Rattus norvegicus: one gene and its partner. The protein of the gene in region 2 purifies or fractionates together with the protein of the main gene of each other region. This does not show direct contact. Links are inferred from orthologs where the notes say so. Each region holds a gene or a part of one and is shown on either strand. Other genes may lie near its edges.

Region 1 (5,893 bases), on a different chromosome or scaffold from region 2:
TAAGGATAAAGTGAGTTTGGAGCCATTTTGGTGGCAGTCACCACCACCTCCATTAACTGGAGAATTACCAGACACTACTATTTCATTGATTCCAACTCATAATTTCATAAATATTGATATTTCTTGTTTACTCTCGATGCCATAGTTTTAAGATAAAATGTTTTTTTTTTGGTTCTTTTTTTCCGGAGCTGGGGATCGAACCCAGGGCCTTGCACTTCCTAGGCAAGCGCTCTACCACTGAGCTAAATCCCCAACCCCGATAAAATGTTTTAAAAAAAGTTTTTGATGCATGTCTTGATGCATGTACATCTGCATGCCAGAAGAGAGCATCAGATTTCTTTATAGATGGTTGTGAGCCACCATGTGGTTGCTGAGAATTGAACTCAGGACCTCTGGAAGAATAGCTAGTATTATTAACTGCTGAGCCATCTCACCAGCCCTCAGATAAAATGCTTTCTAAAAATGGTTGCAGCAGGGAGCAGTGGTGCATGCTTTTAATTCCAGTATACAGGAGGCATAGACAGGAGGCCCTCAGCCAGCCTTGGCTAGAGACCCTTAAAAAAAAGCAAATAGGGGCTGGGGATTTAGCTCAGTGGTAGAGCGCTTACCTAGGAAGCACAAGGCCCTGGGTTCGGTCCCCAGCTCCGAAAAAAAGAACCAAAAAAAAAAAAAAAAAGCAAATAACAAATCATTTTATTAATTGGTTAAATTATATTGGACAGGTAATAGGTTTCATTTCTGTACATCTACGTTTCAGGTGAACAGGCAGAATACAGGGACCACAGGTTTACTGTCAGAGTACCTACTGGTATAGCTTAACATTTTGGTGTCCGTGGTTTTTGTAGAGACAGCCTATCAGGTATCTCACATTGGCTTTGAACTCCTTCTGTAGCCAAGGATGACACTGCATTTTATTTACTGATTTATTGATTTTGTTTTGTTTTTTGTTTTGTTTTCTTCAAGACAGGGTTTTTTTGTGTGTGTGTGTGTAGCTCTGGCTGTCCTGGAACTAGTGGCCTTGGACTCAAGAGGTCTGCCTGTGCCTCCTGAGTGTTGGAGCCAAACTTGTGTGCCACCACCAGTGGCCTGTCTGATACTGAATTCTTGATCATCTTGCCTGTATCTCTCAAGTGTTGGAATTATACACATGTACCACCAAACCTAGCTTGGGTTCAGTCTGCACAGGAAGCCCCCGTGTAGAAATAAAATTCTATATGCTTCAAGAACACAACATATTTAATAAGAGAAAAACAGATAGTTTAGTTTTATTCCTATTTTTTGAGATAGGATCTGGTATGTAGCCCAAGGTAGCCTAGAATTTACTAAGTAGCCCTGGCTTTTAACTCTTGATATGTCTGCCTCATTCTGCCAAGTGATAGGACTACAGGTAATTTTTTTTTTTTTTTAACTAAAACCCAGCCTTTTGTTATTACCAGTTTGTAGGCAACTTAGCAGGTATACAAACATGTTTATAGTGTCTGAAAAAACAGGGAGAAGATCAAAGTGAATAATCTAGCTGGGTGTTGTCCTACTCATCTGTAATTACAGGATCTCAAAACTGGTGGACTAGATCTGCAGGGACAGACTGTCCTGCAAGAGGCCTGTCTTTACAGTAAGTACATAGAGGGGAAACTTCCATGCAAATCTAAGGCTTTCTTAAGGGTCAGTAGTGCACAAGGCCGGCTTTATGCGCTGTGGCGGGCGCACGGAGCAGCACAACAAGCCTCTTTCCCAGACTTTGCACCGCTGGTTGGGGAAGAGACAAAAGAAAGGCTCTGGCCTCGCCCTTGCGGAACGTAAAATAAGTCCGACTGGCAAGGCACGACTAGTAAAATTTAAACCGCAATTAAGTGGAGGAAAAACTAAACAACAAAAAACCTCTGCATAACAATCGCCTACATGTGTTCTACAGAGAAGCAGTGGAAACTTGAAGGTTTTAAACCTAGAGCCGGAGGGACAGACCCAAAAAACAAAACAAAACAAAAAAAAAACCCCAAAACCTAAACGAAGATGGAAGAAAGGAGGCTGTTCTCGAGTGGGAAATGCAAGGTGAGGACTGAAGGCGGATGGAGGAGAGCGTCCTCCAGGATACAGAAGACAGAGCGCCGATGGAGCGCGGCGACCCAAGAGCCGGAAAGGCCGGCGGCCACTGCGGCGGGTCCGTTAAACCGAAAGGCCGCTTCCAGAGCCTCCATTTGCTCGGCCCGGCCCAGCGCGGAGGTCGCGCCGTGGGGGCGGGGCGGGGCCTGCGCGCGCAGTCGCCCTAGCGGGCCTCGCCTCGGCAGGGGGCGGGGCGCCTATATTACGTGCGCGGCGCCGCCCCTGCGAGAGGACGTTGCGTGCTCGCTCGCGCCAGGCGAGTCTCCGCGTCTTGCCTCGCGAACTCGGTGAAAGGAATTGGCGCCGTTCGACACCAGGCGGGTCCGTTCTGCAGCAGCACTCAGCTATCTCCAGCAGCAGCCGCCGCCCGGGCCGACCAGCAGCCGCCGCCACAGGCCGAGGGAGCCAGCAGTCAGCGGTGAACCCGGGCCCTCACCATGAGTTCTTCGCCTGTTAATGTCAAGAAGCTGAAGGTGTCGGAGCTGAAGGAGGAGCTCAAGAAGCGGCGCCTCTCAGACAAGGGCCTCAAGGCCGATCTCATGGATCGACTCCAGGCCGCGCTGGACAACGAGGCAGGAGGCCGCCCCGCCATGGAGCCCGGGAACGGCAGCCTCGACCTGGGTGGCGATGCGGCCGGGCGCTCGGGAGCAGGCCTAGAGCAGGAGGCCGCGGCCGGCGCCGAAGACGATGAGGAGGAGGAGGGCATTGCCGCTCTGGACGGCGACCAGATGGAGCTGGGCGAGGAGAACGGGGCGGCGGGGGCGGCTGACGCGGGCGCGATGGAGGAGGAGGAGGCGGCGTCGGAAGACGAGAACGGCGACGACCAGGGCTTCCAGGAGGGGGAGGACGAGCTCGGCGACGAAGAGGAGGGCGCGGGCGACGAGAACGGCCACGGGGAGCAGCAGTCCCAACCGCCGGCGGCGGCGCAGCAGGCTTCTCAGCAGCGCGGGCCTGGCAAGGAGGCCGCGGGGAAAAGCAGCGGCCCCACCTCGCTCTTCGCGGTGACGGTGGCGCCGCCAGGGGCGAGGCAGGGCCAACAGCAGGCGGGAGGTAAGAAGGCGGAAGGTGGCGGGTGAGTGTTGCGTTGTGGGTGCGCGCGGCTGTGGGGACCGTGCCCCAGGCCTGCTGGGGCCCCTAGGGGCGAGCGCCGCGGGAGGTGGGGGCGGGGAGCCCCGGGGCCGCGGAGAGGTTCTCGCCATGCCGGCGGCGCCTCCATTATGTATGTCGGGCGCCGGGGGGAGCTGCAGCTGCTGCGGTGGGGGGGGGAGGAGGAGCCGAGGCGGGCAGGAGCGCCGGCCGCTGGGGCGCTGTGTGCGCGCGGTTCGGGCACATGTGGGGGGGGAGGGGAAAAGCCCGAAGGTCCCGGAGCGGGCGGGCTTTGGCGGCTCTGCGCAGCGGTATTGTGCAAGGAGCACAGGGGCTCGGTGTGACGTCACTTCCGGCGGGAGGCGCGGGGAGCGGGGCGGAAGCTCAGTACAATGCGGCGGCGGGGCACGCGGGCTCGGGTGGGGGAGGGGAGGTGGGCCCACGCTACCCCTCCCTCTCGCTTGAGCGCCGCGCACGTGGGCCCGGGCGGTGTCGCGCTTTTTTTTTTTTTAATTTTTTTGAACTATTTTAAAAATGCTTTCTGGAAGGTTGCGGTAGGCTGGCAAAATCCATAACGTCTTTAGACTGCGTCACTGTCTCCAGTCCAATTCCAGACTTTTTTTTCCTTTAAATTCTCATTTGTGGTTTAAAAAGTCACAGAACCAGTCTGAAAAGAAAATCAGTAACAGCTCTTGAGGCTTGAAACAGGAAAAGGTGCTTTCCCCCATTTAGTTTTCAGCCTGGTACTTTAAGGCCGTGTTCTGTGTCGTTATAGGAGACGGCAAAACAGAACAGAAAGCTGGAGATAAAAAGAGAGGTGTTAAAAGACCCCGGGAAGATCATGGCCGAGGATATTTTGAGTACATTGAAGAAAACAAGTACAGCAGGTAGAGAATCCTAACCTAGTTTTCACTTGTCACCCATTCTTTATATGTGGTGGGAAAAGTTTTATCAGGAGACAATTCTGTCTTTCAGAGCCAAGTCTCCTCAGCCACCTGTTGAAGAAGAAGACGAACACTTCGATGACACAGTGGTTTGTCTTGATACTTGTAAGTGAGGCGGACTTTCCCGCTCTTTACTCGTTTTCAAGTGCAGTGTTATTTTTTTGGTTTTAAGTGTTAGGAAAGATGTGTGTTGATCTTAAAGTGCAGAAAACCAGAACTTTGTTTTAAAGCAGGAAGGTAGTGGCTTATGCTAAGGCCATAACCGTTTAATATTAATACCACTTCATTTGTATTGATTTATCAAGCTCTAGTGATTGGTAATAATAGTTTTATGAATTGGAACTTCTCAGTACTTAGGGATGTAAAACTAAATAATTTTCGTTTAGCTACCAGGAACTTGTATTTTAAAAATCTGCCTGTAACTTGTCCTTAGATTATATAGTTTAATCTTTTCTCTTGTGGAACTATATTAAGTGAGCTAAATGGGGGTAGCTGAATACTTACTAATGATCTTCCCATTAGCACACAAGTGTATTCCCTATTCTAAGGATTGTAATATTACCTTTCAATAACTGCTCTTTTGTTCTCAATTCCAGTTCAGTAGCTGCTGCTTTAACATAAGTTGATTTCTTCCAAAGACCTGGGGCAGCAGCAGTGGGCTATCTGAGCCACTAGCTTTCTTCAGCAGCGAATGGTATCAATGGCAGCGCTGTAAATATGCTACTTTACCCAGCTGGGTTGCAATTGAATATGAGGAAGTATTGCAAACCATGAAATGGGCTTTAGCTGTCAGATTTGTATTTTTATCCTTTAAAAAAATTCGACTAGTTTAGTATTTAATAACATCTTTTGTGAGCAGAACAAAAAATACAAATAAGTGTGTAGTTACAGGGCCTCACTTGATGGAAGTTAAGGGTTAAAAGCTTGGGTTCTCATGTTTCCCTGTACAAATCGTGTTCAGAGCCCTGAGAGTTAATTATGTAAAACTTGGCTGGTTTCTAACCACATACCTTTTATAGTCAATTACATCTTGAAAAGAAGTTTTGTTCTTTACTGAAATATAAAATACTTTGGAATTCACAAGTAGCTATAGGTATGGTTCAAGAGGTTAGTTAACATTGTGACTTAAAGGAGTTTTGGATCCCGTCAGCTAATATTTATCTTAAGTAAATTCTAATTGTATCAGCAGTCAGCAGGAGTTTTAAAGCACAAAGCTTAAGGAAAGCATCTAGATGAGGAGAGATCTGTGGATCCCTGAAATCAACCGCTGTCTAAGTGAACATTAGTGAGAACTGTGAAAAGCTGCCAGTTAATGAGCTCTAGTCACCCAAAGATAGCTAGGTTAAAGACTGGATTTGTATAATCCAGGCAATAGTTAATTCCTAGTCGTTGTGACACCTTTCCAGGTTAGGTAAAAGAAACTCAAAGGGCTACACGTTAACACTTAGACTGCCAGGTTTATGGGTTCAAGCTGACATAGTGACAGGTTTTCAGAATTAAGGCTCTGGAACCCTGACGTTGGTTTACAAAGCATGGAATCAGCAGCTCTCAAATATGTGGTGGCTTCCCTTCAGTTTTTAATTGTCACTGGTAATTGTACCTGGCTCTGGCATGCTTCCCTTTCATTTCCTGCTGTCCTCTACTGCTTGCCTCTAAAACAAGGTAAAGAGCAGAGCAGGTATGTATTAATGTTGCGTTGTCTAAATCAGCTAAAACGTACTTAAAGCACTTCAATTTTGACTTTAATTGGCGGTTGACCTTTT
Region 2 (5,843 bases):
CTCCCCTACATGCTATCTCATATGAAAGGTACTGACAACTTCAAGGTCTTGGTTGGCTGTTAAATTGGTGAACTCCAATAAACTAGTCTTTCGGTATTCATAGAACTTCCCACACTTGCTATGGGCTTGGACATGACTTGCTTTGACCAGTGCAGCAATCAGAAAGCTTGATAACCATTTGCTGATGGGTCCTGTCCTGTTTTGAACCCACCTTCCAGAAGCTTGAGAGGCTCCAGAAGATGAGATATCATTTTGAAGGTGTTCCCAGCTGATTAAAGCCCCATGTGTAACCTCAGCTTACATCACATTGGTCCAGATGAGCTTGGTTAATTTACATAATTGTATAAAATAATAAGCCATTGTTATTCTAAGCCACCACACCTTGGGATGGAGGATTATGTTGCAATAGGTAACTGAAACAGAGGTCATTTAACCTAACCTCATTACGCTACTGACTGTCCCAAACCCAGAAAGGGAGGAGAGTTTGGGGAAATCCAGACAGCAAGGTATTGGCAGTAACTCTAATTCTGGGCTTTTCCCAGGTGTTTTTCTTTCAATCTCTTGGTGAAAGCCACTAGATAAAGATTCTAACATTTCAGACTCTAACTGCAGGGAATTTATACTGTGGTTTAGATGCATACAGATTACTGTAATGCCTTGCTTGCTCTTTGGAAATGGGAAGAGTTCTAAGTCATCCACTTTACAGGGGCAAAGAATTGAAACACACTTGAGAAGCAGGAAAGCTTCTCAAGTCACTGCTACTGTGAAGTGGGTTGGGTACAATGAGCCAGGCCCTCGAGATACACGATAATAGCCAGAGCTTGGTTTCTACAGCCAGATCTCCAGTAAAACATAAACAACTTCACAGACCATTAACATTAGACAAGGCCACAGAACGGCCTTATCTTATGGATCAAGACAAAAACAAGACCACTCCATAATTACTCGTGAACACAGATAAAACATGAACATTGTCTAAGCCCCTGACACACGGCTACAAGAGGCTGTCATCAATTACTGGATTAGTTTCAATCTAATATAACTTCCCATAGATAAGGTGTCCAACCTTATTACCCCCACTTCCTGGCAGTATGCGCTCCAGAGCCCCTTCAAATCCTTTTCTACATTACCTAATGTCTCTTACTGAGACGTCCATGATTCATCGTGGTGCATGTTCTCTTCTAGTTCAGCTAAAATAAACCCACCTTGTTTAACTACAGCGTATTCCTGGGGGTTTTTGGTTTGAGGGTACTGACAACTTGGAGGGCACACAGAGTTAAGAGGAAGAGTTCACTGGAAGTCTCTAGATGTGTTTCTTCACAGCATTTCTAACTCTTGGTGAATGTCTGCTGTCTTCCCATTAGAATTAAGCTTCACGAGAACAGAGGTCTCGCCTGTCATTTCCAGAGCTTAGGGCAGTACTAGTAGCAACGGAATGCTTAAAAATGTCTTCAAAATGATCAGCTTCTTTCTCATGGCTCAGCTACTTCCAGTGTAGCAGCTCTCCATACATCTGTTTCCCAACTCAAGCCTCCAAACTTTTCCTCTTGAGATGTCCATCTTCCCTTGGTTGGATCTTCGGGCTCACAGACCCCTCCCACACCTCCTGGTGCAACCTCGGACCCACCTGTCTCCACCATCTGTCCCTACCAAGTGTAATACACCGGGCGGCCGCGCAAGCACCTAGACGACCAGTGGGCACTGCAGACAACTACTGCGCATGTGCGGAAATCGGTCGCACCGCAAAGATCTCAGACAAGTGAGGAGTTGCCTCGGAGTTTCCGTCCGGGTCCGGGCAGCCACCCGCTGCCAGGAAGTCTGGAACGACCAACCGGAAGGAGACCGCGCGCGCGAGGATTTCTGGGACAAGTAGTCGCGGCGCTCGCGAGGCCCTATCCCGAGCAAGTCCTAGATACTCCAGATCTGCATGTCCCCGCACTCCCAGCCCTGCCCTCCCCTAGGTGCTCTCTCCCGTGGCGGAACCCTGGCAGAGTGGCCCGACGGCTTCTTGTTCCCATAAGGCTTAGCGATCCGCCGCGGTTGTTGGGAGTTGTAGTCTTCGCCGTGCGTCCTGCGTCCGCCGAGGGGGAGGGCGGAGCTGCCGGCGGCCCGGGCGGGCTGGCAGCTAGAGTGGGTGCCAGAGCTGCCTCCGCCGCCGCCGCTGCCACCGCCTCCTCCGCCCGGGCCGTTCGCTGCTGAGCGGAGAGAGCGAGGCGGGGCCGCCGGGGCCGCCATGGAGCCCGACTCGGTGATTGAAGACAAGACCATCGAGCTCATGGTGAGTGCGGCCCGCTGGCCTTCAGTTCTTCCGGCCGGCCGGCGGCCCGGGGGCCTGCCCACCTCGGCGTCCGCGCCAGGCCAGCCCTCGTTCCCCGTCGCCTGGGCCCGGCCGGCCCCCTGCTACGGCTCGCTGCTGACGCCTCGCGCTCTTGGGCCGGCCCGGCCTCCGCTCCCCGCGAACTCCCCCACCCCCTCCCCGCTCCTTGCCGGGCTCCGACCAGTCTCGGGCGCCCCTGCCTCGCTCCTGCCGGAGCCACCGCTCACTCTCGCCTTGCCATCACACTGTCTTTTTAGAAGGGGATTTCTTTTTCCCTTCCCTGGATTCCTCTGCCAGGCCTGCATCGCGCTTCCCAGCCCCGCTCAAGCCGAGGGTGATGGTGGTGGGAGGTTGTCCGAGACCAGTTGGAGCCGCTTCGGCCTCCGTAACCTAGGCTTAGGGGGTGGGGTGGCGGTGGGTCTCAGCACCCTCACCCCAAGCTACCGCTGTGTGGATGCCAGGATAGGCCCTTCAGGACTGGGATGTTGGGCATGCCCACGAGTCTGAGGCTGTAGGGGATAAGGGGCCTCTTTTCCGAGCCCCTGCGGTGTCAGGCTTCTTGGACAAAGGGTTTCCTACCCTGCCGTGAAGGATGTTTGTATAGCAGGGCCCTAGGTACTCAGAATTCCATCCCCCAGAAAAGGAAAACCATAACTTTATCATTTGGGAAATGAGAGGGGAGGGAGAAGAGGTCGCCTTCATCACTGCCACCCTCTTTTCTTTTAATAATAAAAAGCGGGACGGTGTGTGTGTGGGGGTGTTCTTGACCCACCGAGAAGCAGCGATCCCTTTACTGTTAGAAACCCTTGGTAGCCAGGTTGGTCAGGTCTTCCCGGACACCCCTAACCCATTTCTGACCTCAGACTTGGTGCTAGAAAGGTTTTTGGAAACAGGGCTGTGAGTGAATGGCTGGGAAAGTGAAGGATTTGCTTATTGGTGGAAGAAATAAAGTATGGCTGGTAGTACCTGCCAGTTTGAACGTGAGGGAAATCAAACTGGGCCCAGGAGAGTTGGGGACATAAGAAAGGCTTCTTCCTGTGAAAACCTTGACAGTTTCTTTGTATCTCTACTAATATCGTAACAACTAGTATCTGCCGCACAGTACTGAGGAAAGGTGAACGATCTACTGAACTTAGCAATGTGTTTTCCTCGTCAGAGTTTCTCCAGTGTGAAATGCTTATTGAGTCAGTGATTCCACTGGGTAGGGTTGGTGACATCAGAGCCACTTCCCCCATTTAGTGCTATAAATAATAAATGGTGATACTGAAAGTCTGTTGGATAGCCCATGGTTTTTGTGGATGATGTTGTCCAGGGAGCTAAGGTACACGTTTAAAATGGAAGTAATAGTAGCATAACTACAGAGTCTCATGTCTGCTGGACTCAGCACAATGTGCAGAACTGGATGGTTGAAAAATCAAACCTGGAAGTTTCTGGGGTGTGTGTGTGTGTGTGTGTGTGTGTGTGTGTGTGTGTGTGTTCACAGGGATTCTGTCACTTTATCTTCAGGTTCTGAGGACCTTTTTTCTTTTTCAGCATCCAATTGTCGGTTGTAACAGTTTGGGAAACTTTAGTAGTCCGTTATTTTGACAAAATGTCTTTAAAACGTGCCTTATGTATTAATGTGAATTCACACGTGCACCACAGTGGGCCTGTGGAGGTCAGAGGACCATGTTGTAAAGATTCTCTTCTGCTTTTACCTGGGTTCTGGGACTTGAACTCATTTCGTTCTGCATGTATGATCACGTGTCTTTGGTTGAGCCATCCTGATGACCTCTTTTTTGGCAAAGTGTCAAAGTATCTTCATGTATGAAGATACATGTTCCATCTTCTTAAAGACAAAACAGTATATCTGCTTTCATAATGACCAGTGCTTCATATGAAACATATTCACTTAAAACAACCAAAATGTCTTCTTTTTCAGGAGAGTTAGAAGAAATACAGTGTAATTAACCTCAGGCATGGTCTTTTAGCATATGACTAAAGAAATATTCTGGCCCACACTTACTGGTTTTCTAAGCTTATAACTGTTTTGTTTTGAGTAACTGTTAAGGTGCTGGGGTGCACCTTAGTGGTAGAGCACATGCTTCCTTAGTGTCCATAAAATCCTCATGGCTGGGTTAGACTGTGTGATATTGTTTGCCCTTACATTGAAGAGATGTCACCTAATGAAGACATAAAAGGGATTTAATGTAGGATTCTTAGAAATGTAATAAAAAAATGTGCCAGGCATGGTGGCACATGCTTTTAATCCCAGTTCTCAGGAAGCAGAGACAGGTGAATCTCTGTGAGTTAGTCAGCCTGGTCTACAAAGTGAGTTCCAGGACAACCAGAACTACACAGAGAAACCCTGTCTCTCAAAACCTAAACAAATAAATGAAATCCCCCAAACCAACCAAAACAAAGACCAAACAAACAAAAAAACCACAACCAACCAAAAGTCAGTCTCAAACCCCCTAAAGATTGTAGTGCCGAGGCCTGCATTGCTGGATCTGATTTACTGTCTATGCGTATGGCTCGTTGCTTGAGTCATTTATAAGGTGTGCAGCTACAGTTTTTCCAAATCGTTGGTACCTGTTTCTCACTATGATCAGTTTCAATTATAGTCAACATACCCTACTGTGTTATATTTTAAAATACTACTTTGAGAATGACTTCGTGTTGGTTGTGGAATACCAGTACACTACACCTGTTTATTATAGTATACACTTTGCTTCTGTCCCTAGCAATCCTAGGGGATAGTTGGAGGAGAAAGATGGTGGGTGACAGCGGAATAGTTAAGTTTAAAAATCCAGGTGTCCCCTTGGTGACTACTTGAGGCCTGGACTACCAAAGGTGCGTCTGTGTCTAGGACTCTTAACAGAAACCTCATATGGGCTCTCTGTCTCCCCACTTTCCTCCTTTGTCTGCTCTGTCCTCTCTTTACTCCTCCCTTTCCTTATCGTTCTCCCTCCTTTTTCTTCTTCTTAACATGTTCTCTTTTTCTCCAGCTCCCTGTCCTCTTGCAGGGACTCTTGTAGCCCAGGATGGCCTGGAACTTTGTAGCTGAAGCTGGTCTTCAATCTCCTTTCCTCTACCTCCCAGGTGCTGGGATTATGGTGCCACCATCCTCTTGAATGAACTCTTGAAAGAGACAATGACTTTATAGTTGCTGATAGTGAATAATTTAATTGTCTTGTGGCTTTCATGGGCCAACTTTGTGGACCTGTGTTCTAAACGTTTCTGCAACAATCAGCTTTATTATGAGTGAGCTAGAACAGTGAGCTAAACAGTGACCCTTTTTGGAAATATTCAGAGCTCACCAGGCTGTGTGTCTGGTTGGTCGGATTTCAGTGGAAAGAATGCAAACTTCATTCATTATGCATCGCACTGAGGTGGGAGCATGAGTTGATGTACAGGTATTCCTTAGGAAGCTGCAGATTGACAGACAGGTGGCCAGTTCCTCCCTGAGAGGACAGCAAAAAGCTGCAACAGTTTAAGAACACAGGCCAACAGTCAAAGATGCTAGCCACCAAGCCTAACTACCTAA

What was found.
Region 1: the proteins of Fbxw11 (region 2) and Hnrnpu purify together in Homo sapiens (affinity purification with mass spectrometry; 5 studies listed by BioGRID and IntAct, counting the BioPlex papers as one, with this or other methods). This does not show direct contact. The link is inferred for Rattus norvegicus from reciprocal best matches to the Homo sapiens genes FBXW11 and HNRNPU.

What each region holds. Positions count from the first base shown.
Region 1 is NC_086031.1:92,615,058-92,620,950, reverse strand, and holds the start of Hnrnpu (heterogeneous nuclear ribonucleoprotein U), read left to right. Parts: upstream 1-2,370; 5' UTR 2,371-2,537; coding exon 2,538-3,150; intron 3,151-3,961; coding exon 3,962-4,073; intron 4,074-4,161; coding exon 4,162-4,235; intron 4,236-5,893. UniProt on the Homo sapiens protein: DNA- and RNA-binding protein involved in several cellular processes such as nuclear chromatin organization, telomere-length regulation, transcription, mRNA alternative splicing and stability, Xist-mediated transcriptional silencing and mitotic cell progression.
Region 2 is NC_086028.1:17,735,108-17,740,950, forward strand, and holds the start of Fbxw11 (F-box/WD repeat-containing protein 11), read left to right. Parts: upstream 1-2,089; 5' UTR 2,090-2,233; coding exon 2,234-2,278; intron 2,279-5,843.